Oryctolagus cuniculus: one gene and its partners. The protein of the gene in region 1 interacts with the protein of each later gene in a pairwise test. Links are inferred from orthologs where the notes say so. Each region holds a gene or a part of one and is shown in the gene's direction. Other genes may lie near its edges. The genes, in order: UBA3, CPNE2 and IMPA2.

Region 1 (4,253 bases):
AACATCGCACTAATGTAACAGCAGCTACGCAGGCTGCGTACCCATTAGACAAAAAATACTTCTCCATTTCAGTGGTTCTTAAGCTTACGACTTCAGAATCATCCAGGGCTGGATTAGATTCACAACAAATTCCCAAGTAATGTTGATCAGGCCTTGTGTTTTGAGAACCACTTTGCTTAATTCTCAGTCTTAAAAGGCCAAAAACAGAAACAACCAAAAAAAAAAAAAAAAAAAAAACCAACCAAACAAAAAAAAACCAAAAAAACAAAAAACAAAAGGCCAAGCATTTTTTAAAATGACTGCTTTAAAAGAAAGTGCCCAAGGTCCTATAGTTAATTACTGAGAAGTAACAACTTAAATTTAGTTCTTTCTGACTTCAAATCCACTGGTGTCCTTCTCCAAAGAAGGATATGTCCGTGTGTTTGAATATATTTCTCTACCCCAGCATTCAGATTCACCTATACATGTATACACACTTCTGACACTGGAAGAAAGCAGTTAGAATGTTGTCACACGTATCTTTAGGTGATGGGATTATGAGTGTTCTAAGTCAGTTTTTAATTTTTCCTGCTTTCTAAGTATTTTTCTTCTATCTAAATACATATATTTATCTGATGTCCTCAAAGTTTTCCAGTATAGTTCCATTTTTGCTGAATTTATCTGACAGAATGAAGTGACACTAAAATACTGATTTTTTTCAAAAAGTAAAAAAATAACAAAATTCTATCCTACTCCTGTGAACAGATTTAGATAAATCTGTTCTTTTTTGAGAGGCAGAGAGAGAGAACTTCCATCTGTTGGTTCTTTCCCCAGATGGCTGCAACAGTTGAAGCTATGCTGATAAGAAGCCAGGAGCCAGGAGCTTCTTCTGGGTCTCCCACGTGGGTGCAGGGGCCCAAGCACTTGTGCCATCTTCTACTGCTTTCCCAGGCCACAGCAGAGAGTGGGATCAAAAGTGGGGCAGCCGGGACTCAAACCGGGGACCATATGGGATGCCGGCACTGCAGGCGGTGGCTTTACCTGCTACCCCACAGCTTCGGCCCCTTTAAATCTGTTCTTAAAGTGTGGACCTACACAGGCAAAGATTTTTGGGACGGTTCTTTGCTCCGGAGGCAAGCTCTAGCATACTGGAGTTAGCCTTCCAGGCATTTTTTCATTGAATATACCAACATTATATGTAATTCTTTATCAGCATATACATTGTATAAAAACAGAATGCTTTGCGTCCACATTTCACCCTGCGTGACATTACACAGGGCATAAGAGTTATCTAATGAGGGGTAGCTAATTAAGATCCTAATTGCAGCGGGACGCTTGCTTTCAAGCCCAGGGGCGCTAAGGCGCAGCCGACCCCTCCCCATCGTTGCAAGCCCCGCCCTCCCACAAGTCCCGCCCCTTCCCGCCGACTCCGCCCGCCGAGAGGGCACCTGGGAAGAGGCGGAGAACAATATGGCGGATGGCGAGGAGCCGTAAGTACCGGGGCTCTGCCGGCGCGCCGGGCTGGGCTGGGTTGTGAGAGAGCGCGGCGGAGGGCGGTCGCCGCCCCCACCCGGGGTCCCCTCCACTCCCCACCCCGTCCCCTCGCCCCCCATCCTCTCGCGGCGCCCAATGTGTAGCGTGATGCTGACCCTTCTTTTATTCTCTCTTTCTTTTAGGGAGAAGAAAAGAAGGAGAATAGAGGAGCTGCTGGCTGAGAAGTTAGTGCTGCCGGGAGGCCGGGGCCCTCTCCGGGGACCCCCGCCTCCCCTTACCCCAGGCCTAGGGGACCAGCCGCAGCGGGCCCATGGGGCTGGGAGGGGGGCACCCGGAGCTCAGGCCGCGCGGCCTCTTCCCCTGACCCCGGTCCCGCAGCAGCCCCGGGGGCCCCCGAGGGCCACTCCAGATTTGTGCCCCGGCGGGCGTCGGGGCCGGGGTGCACCTGCAGGGCCTTCAGGGGCCGCCGGGGCGTCTGACTTAAAGGTTTTGCGGAAGGACCGTTGTGCCCCCCTCTTCCTCCATCCCAAATTGTCATATCCTTGAGCTTGTGAAAAGGGAATCCAACTTACACACACACCTAACGGACACGGGGCCGTTTTGTTTTTGCCTTTCGTAAACACTGAGACAATAGTGCACACTGTGTGTGAAAACTGTGTTTCAGGTACTGTACTAAGCACGTCAACCATTTCTGCGAAATAATTGACTCTTAAAGGAGGGTGTTGACACCAACAGCTTATTTTTTCCCCACTTACCATACACCCCGTGTCTTACCAGATGATTAGTTTTGTGCTGGTGGGACAGATTTACACAGTGTTTTCGGACTGAGCCAGCGCCACATAATTTCTCTCCTCCCTACATGGGAGTGGAAAATACTCTCGCAGTGGGTGTGGTGAGTTTGTAATTTCTCTGCCAATTCCTGGTGCTTTGGTCATCCTGAGGTCTCTTCCCCCAGAACTTGAATTTCAACTGCTTAGAGTACTGGAATGACAGACTTTCCTCACCTTTGATTTCCCTTCCACTTTTGCACAAAGTGCACGACATGCCCCATCCTTTATTAAGTCCTCTGTGTTAATATCGCTTTATCCTCCTGGCCCTAAGAAGTTGCTCCCAATAGCCTGCAGTTGAGGTTTATGGCTATTCAGTAATCTGCTCAAGGTCATGGTGCTATTAGTTGTGGAGCCAAACCCGACTGCGCATCAAGACCTATGGTCTTTATTACTATGCAATACTTCTGGGTGTTACCAACATACTTGAAAGTAGAAAATTAAAAAATAACCACAACCAGATATGAATCTTGGCACTGATAAGACAGTTTGTACACTTTGGTAGAGAAGTCCCACTTTATGCAGTTGTATATCCTGAAAGGTTTCTAGGTGTGATGACAAGCTGAGTTTTTTTTTTTTTTTTTTTTTTTTTTTTTTTTTTTAACTGTAGTGGCAACAGAAACCACCTCACAGGACTCAGTAATTTTTGAAAATTTGGACTCCTGTTTCTGAGAAAACCATGTCAAAGCTTCTGTCATCAGAAATGATCTTTGAATCACACCTTTCAATAGAAAATAAAGAACACATGGGTGGTGGTAGATTTGAAGCCTCAGTTCTTAGAGTGTCCCTTTTGTTGTTTTCCCATGCATATGACATTGCCAGATCAGCTGACTTGAAAGAACATACTGGGGAAGGCTGCTGTGGTCTTGTGTAAATACCACATGTAGACAAGTCCATTTCTTACCCATAGACCAACATCCCAAGTTTGACCTTGGATTACTTGAGGAACAGGTAGACTGATTTTATTTTGTCAGGTGGATGAAATAAAAAGAAAAAAAAAATAGAAGCAATCACAGGCAGTTCTTAAGTGAACCGTATAATAGACAAGTGATAGGAGAGCATAGACATGACCACATTGATCATTCCCTTTCTGTTTGAGCAGGTCTTTTCATTTGGGGAAACCATAATAACTGTAGGTGTGGCTTTTTTCCGGACTGATCTTTGCAGCTGAATTTACTGTGTTCTGTGCAGAATGGCTGTTGATGGTGGGTGTGGGGACACTGGAGACTGGGAAGGTCGCTGGAACCATGTAAAGAAGTTCCTCGAGCGATCTGGACCCTTCACACACCCTGATTTCGAACCGAGCACTGAAGTGAGAAACGTTTATTTTTAAATAACTGCTCTAATAGTTTTATGTTTCAAACATAGTAAAATGCTTCCTTTTTTAATTTGCTCTTATGAAAACTAATTTTCTTATAAAACGTAGTATTTTGAAATACTCAATTGTATATTTACAATTTACTTGAGTGAATAATATTTGAGTAATTTTCACATTTCTCACGTAATATAAGTTGAAAGAGTTCAAGAGGAAAATAACTTCATAACTTTTAAAAATTCTGTTATACTTAAAACTCCAGTTCAAAATGATTTGAGACAAATTCCTCTTCAGTAGCCCTACTATAAGATAAAAGTATAGATATGCTTATTTAAATTTTGGAATTTAGTTGGATTATCTTAGAATTGAATATATTTAGTTGCATGTCAAAAATTATATGAGTGCTAACAGTGGCATAGAATTTTTGACTGATAATGTCTGACTTAAAGAAAATGTTCAATTAGATACCTGTTTTTCATTAGGTATAGGAAAGTAAGAAAAGTATTTTTACAGTAAGTACTTGTGTCCTTTTGTAGCTTTTTTTTTTTTAAGAGATACTGTTTTGAAAGAGAAATATTGTAGTACTCTTAATGTTAAGACTTCTGAGTTTGGCACAGTGTCTTACCTGAGTAACTTTT
Region 2 (3,645 bases), on another chromosome or scaffold:
CTTCTGCTTTTAAATAACCTTCTCATATTATTTCTATTTTTAAAAAATGTGGTTTTCTATTTAAGAGATAAGAAAGAGAAAGAAAAAGACAGAGAAAGCTGCAATCCACTGGTTCACTTCTTAAATGCCCGTAGTGGCAGGGGCTGGGCCAGTTGCGAGACCAGGAGGCAGGAACTCAATCCAGGTCTCCCCCATGGATGGCAGGAACCCAAGTACTTGAGCCGTCACCCACTGCCTCGCAGGCTGTGTATTGGCCGGAAGCTGGAATGGGCATACTTGTGGGACTTGAACCCAGGCATTCTGATACGGGGTGCATACTCCCCAAGTGATACCTTAACCACTGGGCCAACGCCCATGCCCCCTGATTTCTAAATGAATGTAGTGGGGAGCCAACGGGGTGAGGAGCTCAGGTCTGGATGGTGGAGCTGGCCCAAGGCCCTGCTGGGTGGCCTGGGGCAAGTGACTCTCCCTTTCTGAACCTGCCTCCGCCTGGGGATCTCCTTCCCCCGCCTACCTCAGAGGGGCCCTGCGCTGGGTGTATTGGTGCCCCCGCCAGGACTTCTGAGCTGGAAGATGCCGGCCTAAGGGCTGGGGTGAGTGTGGCTTGAGGCGCCTTTGAAAGCTTTCTGTTTCCTGTTCCTAGAGGAAACTCTATTCTTTGTAGTAAATTGGGAAAGTCCAGAGAAAGAAGAGTCGAGAAGAAAACCACAGTGGCTGCAAGCCCACCCCCCCACCCCAACACACACACACCAGGGAAAACTCTGTTAGCAGAGCGGCCGCGGCCCCCAGCTGGTCTGCACGCGTGTGTGTGTGCCCAGATCTGTTTCTCAGTACCTGACTGGGCCGCACTGAGCATCCAGCCGAAAGTACTGCGGCTTGCAAAGTTTCCATGGACGCTGGCGCCTGCTTGTGATGCCAAGGAAATGGGGCTGGGATTGTTGACCCGTTACAGAGAGGAAGTCGGGGCCCAGTGAGGAGGGACTTCTGTCGCCAAGCGCTGGTGGGACAGCTGGAGACAGGCAGGCTGACTCCTGGGGGAGCGTGGCCGAGGCGCTGGTCCTCTCTGCCAGGCCTTTGGAGCCCCCACCTGCTCCTCAAGGAGGGGCACCCCGCACTCGAGGCACCCGCACACCCTCCTGGCCGGCCAGCCCGGCTCCCACCCAGGCTGGCCACCCTGGCTAAAAATAGCCCAGGGCCACGACCTCTTCCACTCCTGCTGCTCAAGCCCTGGAAGCGAAGTGGGTGGGAGGGAAAAATCAACACAGCCTGGGCCCGGAAATAGAGTCACCCAGACTCCAGCCTCAGCCTGGAGGGGCAGGGGGCGGGGCCCCTGTCGCGGGGGTTGGGGGGAGTGGTGAGTGGGGGGGCGCTGTCCTCACCCAGGCGCTGGGGGGGAGGGGAGGGCGGGGGTTGGGCTGCACAATCCAGGAATCTATTGAAGACACAAATACCTGGGCCCTGGGGGTGGGGGCACTCATGACCCCTCCTCCTCTCCTTCCTGTTTCCTCTTTCAGCTGCTGTCTGAAACGTGGTTGAGAAAAAGAAGGTTTTCCCAAAATAAAAAGTATGAAAACCAGATAGGTCTCTGCCCTTTTCAGAAGTAGAAATGAGGCCTGGATGGAGGAAATGGAATTTTTTTAAAATTTATTTGAAATACAGTGTGACAGAGAGAAATCTTCCATCCACTGGTTTACTCCCCAAATGCCCACAACAGCTAGGGCTGAGCCAGACTGAGGCCAGGACTGAGCCAGGCCAAAGCCAGGAGCCAGGAACTCCATCCGGGTCTCCCACATGTGTAGCAGGGACCCAAGTACTTGGGCCATCTTCCACTGCTTTCCCAGGTGTGTTAGCAGGGAGCTGGACTGGAAGGGGCGCTCTGACGTGGGATGCCGGCATCACAAGCAGGTTTAACCCCCTGTGCTACAGTGCAGACCTGGGATAGGGGTTCCCGCTCTGTCACTTAGCCAGGCAGGGCCGGGCCCCAGCTCTTACCCTGGCGCTGGGTGTGGAGCCAGAACTGTGGAGTCAGATCTGAGTTTGAATCTCAGCTCTGCCCACCTAGCTGTTCAGTCTCGGGTGAGTGCCTCACCCTCTCTGTGCATCGGTGTCCTCATCTGTGAGCTACAGGGGGCAATGGCTTCAGCTGCACGGATAGGATCTGTGCGTGCCAGGCACAGAGTCTGTGTTCAATGAGTTGGAATGACTCCCGGCAGCCCCAGGGGGTGACACCAGCCACCCTGGCTGCGTCCCATCCCCCTGCCCTCTGCCAGTATGACAGGACAGAAACGGCCATCAACAACCTCAGCCCCGCCTTCTCCAAGAAGTTCGTCCTTGACTACCACTTCGAGGAGGTGCAGAAGCTCAAGTTCGCCCTGTTCGACCAGGACAAGTCCAGCATGCAGCTTGATGAGCACGACTTCCTGGGCCAGTTCTCCTGCAGCCTGGGCACGGTGAGCCGGGCCCCTCGTGGCGGGCAGGAGGCGGGCAGTTCCCCCAGGTGGCACCCAGACGCCAAGGACAGAGCGGCCCCCGGGTATGGCCCTCTCCACCTGCCTTCCCTGGCCCCGTTTGCTGGGGGCCAGCAGACACTAGAGAGGGGAAGGGGAAAGTAGGTTGGTGGGCTGCGTGCCAGGCTAATGAACGCCCATCTGTGGGAACAGCCAACCACAGGGCCCCCCGATCGCTGCCACACAGGAATGGGGCCCCGCATGGCCAGAGCTCGGTCTTGCTCTCCTGGGCCAGGAGCGTCCTGCTCTGGGGGCCAGCTGTGTGACCCTGAGCAACTTCCTTTCTCTCGGGGCCACACTGCCCCTTCCAGCTCAGTCCTGGATGAGCTTCTGGAGGCTGGGAGGGGCGGGGCTAGGAGCTCCTGGCCCAAATCGCCATCATTCCTACAGCTGTGTCCTTGGCAAGCCCCCACCTCGGCCGAGGCCTCAGTTTCTCCGGATTTTGCCTGGGGACAGTGACGACTGCCCTGCGCAGCCTACACTGGAAAGTGCCGCAGGAGGTCCCGGTGGAGGCTGCGAGGCCCTGAGCCGTCCCCGAGGCCCCGAGCCGTTCCTGAGACAGGGCCAGAAAAGCCAAGGCCAGGCCGCGGGTACAAGGTGGAAGAGGTGGGGAGAGGGCTTGAGGAAGACGAGGCCAGGAACGGGCAAGGGGAGAGGGAACCAGCACAGGTAGCAGCACCAGCCTGGGCCCCGCAGAGGAGGGGGCAGGGCCGGCCAGGTGAGGGCCGTGGCCAGGGGTGGGAGATCTGGGGACAGGAGCAAGAATAAAGCGTCCCACAAATGATGGCCGCCCTCCTCACCCCGCTCCTGCTCTCTTATGTCTTGCTGGTGCCCCGCTGCTAACCCCTGGGAAGTCAGAGGCAGTGGACCGGGTGACTTGTCCATGGGACACAGAGCAGGGGGGAAGGGCAGAGGCAGCCTGGGGACAGGACCTGATGGCCTGGCGGGTGGTGGGACCACAGGGGGCAGAGGCTGCAGGGAGGGTGCCTCTTAGGTGTGTTCTGCTTTTCCTCTCTGTGCGGCTTTGACTGTTGAACCTGTCCTGATACACTCCGCACTCGGGGCCGCTGTCGCCAGGGTGGGAGCCAACAAGGCTGTTCCACCCAAGCTGGGACTCTGGGCAATCAGTGTCTTGTCC
Region 3 (3,645 bases), about 11 Mb from region 1:
ACACATTCAAATATATGGGAATAGGGGGCACATAAGTTAGCACGGGTCTTGGTTGGGCTGCTCTTGTAGGTGAAAGTTGCACATTGCTCTATAGAAAAACTGTTCACAGCTAGGGCAAAACAACTTGAAGCAGTGAGCCTGTGAAAAAATAGCGACTGGGAGCTGTGGGTGTGGCACTGAGCCCCGGGATGTGGGCGGGGCATGGCGGGTCCAGTGAGCGCCCCAGCTGACAGCGCTCTGCTCCAGGAGGGGACGGTGGTGAGCTGAGCCCAGTGCCTTCTTTGCAGATCATCAGGAAGGCGCTCACGGAGGAAAAGCGCGTCTCCACGAAGACCTCAGCTGCGGATCTCGTGACAGAAACAGACCACCTCGTGGAAGATTTAATCATTTCCGAGTTGCGGGAGAGGTTTCCTTCGCACAGGTAGGCGTACGCCTCGGGGTGCATAACCCCGTGGCACCCACCTCGCTCAGGAAGCAGCCAGGACCTCACCCAGAGGCCCTGCCACTTGTCGGTGAGGGGCAGGCCCCTGGGAAGCAGACAGACTCGGGTTCCGTTCTGTGTCCTGTTTTCTCAACGACAGTGACGTCAGTGTCGCACCTGACAGATGTTGAAAGCTCCCTCTTGGTACAACCCATTCTCAGGGGGAGCTCCCTGCTCCTCGGTCCCCAGCTCTTCTGTGCAGCGATGCAGTAGAGGCTGCGCCTGCCCGATGTCCCCATTGGCTGGGCCACTTGCTGCCCAGGCAGGCTTCCAGGATGGGACACAGCCAGTGGTCACTGATGCACACCCCCCTCATTCAGGCCAACACGTGTGGGGGACATGGGGAGAGTTCCCCAGAAGGCCTCACAGAGACCACTTTCACACCGGAAGCTCTCAGCCTTTCCAGGGTTACGTATGGAGAACCTGATGCAAACAGTTAAAAAGCATCAATTAAAACATTGATGTGGTATTTTGCCTATGATTCCAGGGAAGCCACAGACCCCAAATTATGATTTATTCTTCAGCGCAGGGTCTCTGAGGCACTGGGATGTGAAGAGTCTCTTTTCTTCCTTGTATAGGATCTCTTAAAGGTGTTGGAGTCCCAGAACTGCTGTCTTAGCTGTCAGACTCCTGGGCACAGGTTACAGGAGCTGTCAGGTCTGTGTTTATGTAAGCCTAGGTGACAGTGATACATATGACACCCACCCTGCACCTGTTGAGTGTACACGAGGCTCAGTACAGGGTGCTCGTGAGTGCTTGTGGGGACAAGGAACAGGCAGGTGTGGAAACACCCCTCCCCCCTCCCCTGCCCAGTTGGGTGCTCTCAGGGTTAGCAGCACTCCTGGGAGGCTCTGCCTGAGGCTCGTGCCTGTTCTGCTTGATTGACAACCTCTGTGTGTGAGCTTCTCTGACATCCCTATTTCTTATTCTGCCTGAAGTCAGGGTCCCTGTTAAAACAGATGCTTGTCATCTTCTTGGCTTTTTTTTTTTTTTTTAAGATTAATTTACTTATTTGAAAGGCAGAGTTACAGAGAGGCAGAGACAGGGAGGGGGGGTAGATCTTCTATCTGTTGGTTTGCTCCTCAAGTGGCTGCAATGGCAGGAGCTGGGCCGATCTGAAGCCAGGAACCTGGAGCTTCTTCTAGGTCTCACATGTGAGTGCAGCGGCCCAAGGACTTGGACCGTCCTCCACTATTTTCCCAGGTCATAGCAGAGAGCTGGATCAGAAGTGGAACAGCCGGGACCCAAACCAGCACCCATATGGGATGCCGGCACTGCAGGCAGCGGCTTTACCCACTACGCCACAAGTGTCACAAGACTTGTACCCTATGGACTGCTTTTACTCTTTAAGAGGAAAAAACGCTACAGGAATCGAATTAGTCAGCCTTTTGTTACTTGAACTAAAATACCTCTGAGGAGCTTCTTAGGGAGGGGGAAGCTTTATTTCCACTGGGAGTTTTTGAAGTTTTGCAGGCCACCATGGGGCAGCCTTGTTAGTCTGCATCTGATGTGAACAGGTGCAGGGGAAGGGTGCCTGGAGGGAGAGCCAGGAAGCAAAGGGCTCCCCTTCCATGTTGAGTGCCTCTGACTAAACCATCACAACCCAGTCTGGGGCTCCCCACATGCAACCGAATCCAATCTAGTCACTTCCCAAAGGCCCCACCTTCAGGCACCAGCCTCAGACCAAGCCCCGACCCTGATCCGTCAGCCGCTAGCACTACGCCATCAGACTTTGGGGTTTAAACATCTGCAGAGTTTGGGGTGCCCAATCCTGTTCAGTACATAACAGCGACCAGTCAGCCATTTCTGGGTGCTTTATCAACTGTGCTGGAGCAGCCGGGACACACTCCGGCACCCACATGGGATGCTGGCATCACAGGTGGCAGCTTTACCCACTACCCCACATTACAGGCCACCCCCATAAAACAATATCAATGACATCACGGCCGTCCCCAAGTTCGCAGCAGCTGCCTTAACCTGCCGTGATGATGGCACAAAGTAATCCAGCACCATGAGGCTGGGATGCAGGTTGGGTCATCAGAGCATGCTGTTGACACCGACCACACGAGCTCAGCTCAGTGCAGGCCCCAGCTCTGTTGGATCCCCGAACTGTTTTCAGTTGGTGATTTGGAGTCAGATGCAAGCGTAGGTGCTTTGAAAGTCTCGTGGCATCGTGGCTCTGTGGTGATATAAACCACGCCACAACGCCTGCTCCTAAGATCGTCCAACCAGGTCCGAGATTGTCTGGGCTAGCTGAGACACGAAGAAGGCGGCAGCCTGAGCTGCTTGGCCTGTCCAGCCGCCTATGCTGCCCTGGTCAGAGCCCGCAGAGGGACCCAGTGTCCTGCGGTGTGCCCAGCACAGAGCAGTGTCTGTTCATCTGTGCGTCAAACAGAACATAACACAGAGCCTTGACATGGAACAGGCATGCTCGCACCACCCCCAGCTGGACACCTGATCATAGTCTTCCCCAGCCTGGGGCCAGTAGCCTGCAGAGCGGCCGGTGGGGACAGAGCAGTAGCTTGTGAAGATAGCCTGAGTAACATCAGCTGTCCTTCATGGACCAAAGGGACAACCCAAACCTTCCGTCATAGAGTAAACAGATGAAGTAGCCACGGGCAAAGTCTCCAGGCACTTGGCTGTCAAAATTATAAGGAAGCTTTGTTGCAACTACCAAGAGAAAACGGAAGTAGTTAAATTAGGCCGCAAAATGTAGCATTCTCCCTAGTCACACACTTCACCCTGAACCCAGCTGCTGTTTTCTTATCTGCTTCCATGATTTTCTTTTTTTGCAACTTACATGTAGATTTTTATGTAGCTGTTCCACAGCTTTTATGAAAGATTATTTCACACTTGAGTCTGTGCAGGATACGGTTTGTGGCGTGGACTCTCCCTCCCCCTCTGCCAAGAGCCTTGGAATGTTCTCTCCTGTTCTGTAGGTGTTAGCTTCCTACATGAAGGAAGTCAGGTTTAAGTAAATAAAAGTCCTGCCTCCCTCCCCACATCCCAGGGAAGTCTTTAGGTGCCTCAAAAAGCTGAATATGTGGCTCAGCAAGTTAACGCCCTGGCCTGAGGCGCTGGCATCCCATATGGGCACTGGTTCTAGTCCCGGCTACTCCACTTCCAATCCAGCTCTCTGCTGTGACCTGGGAAAGCAGTAGAAG

What was found.
Region 2: the proteins of UBA3 (region 1) and CPNE2 interact in binary tests that used the Homo sapiens proteins (3 or more experiments, as listed by UniProt). The two-hybrid records come from large-scale screens. The link is inferred for Oryctolagus cuniculus from reciprocal best matches to the Homo sapiens genes UBA3 and CPNE2.
Region 3: the proteins of UBA3 (region 1) and IMPA2 interact in binary tests that used the Homo sapiens proteins (3 or more experiments, as listed by UniProt). The two-hybrid records come from large-scale screens. The link is inferred for Oryctolagus cuniculus from reciprocal best matches to the Homo sapiens genes UBA3 and IMPA2.

Annotation. Positions count from the first base shown.
Region 1 is NC_091441.1:80,257,151-80,261,403, forward strand, and holds the start of UBA3 (NEDD8-activating enzyme E1 catalytic subunit), read left to right. Parts: upstream 1-1,363; 5' UTR 1,364-1,449; coding exon 1,450-1,469; intron 1,470-1,655; coding exon 1,656-1,697; exon of another isoform or gene 1,698-2,137; intron 2,138-3,491; coding exon 3,492-3,612; intron 3,613-4,253. UniProt on the Homo sapiens protein: Catalytic subunit of the dimeric UBA3-NAE1 E1 enzyme. E1 activates NEDD8 by first adenylating its C-terminal glycine residue with ATP, thereafter linking this residue to the side chain of the catalytic cysteine, yielding a NEDD8-UBA3 thioester and free AMP.
Region 2 is NC_091449.1:40,737,818-40,741,462, forward strand, and holds part of CPNE2 (copine-2), read left to right. Parts: intron 1-2,270; coding exon 2,271-2,450; intron 2,451-3,645.
Region 3 is NC_091441.1:69,072,667-69,076,311, forward strand, and holds part of IMPA2 (inositol monophosphatase 2), read left to right. Parts: intron 1-287; coding exon 288-421; intron 422-3,645. UniProt on the Homo sapiens protein: Phosphatase that can use myo-inositol monophosphates, myo-inositol 1,4-diphosphate, scyllo-inositol-1,4-diphosphate, glucose-1-phosphate, beta-glycerophosphate and 2'-AMP as substrates in vitro.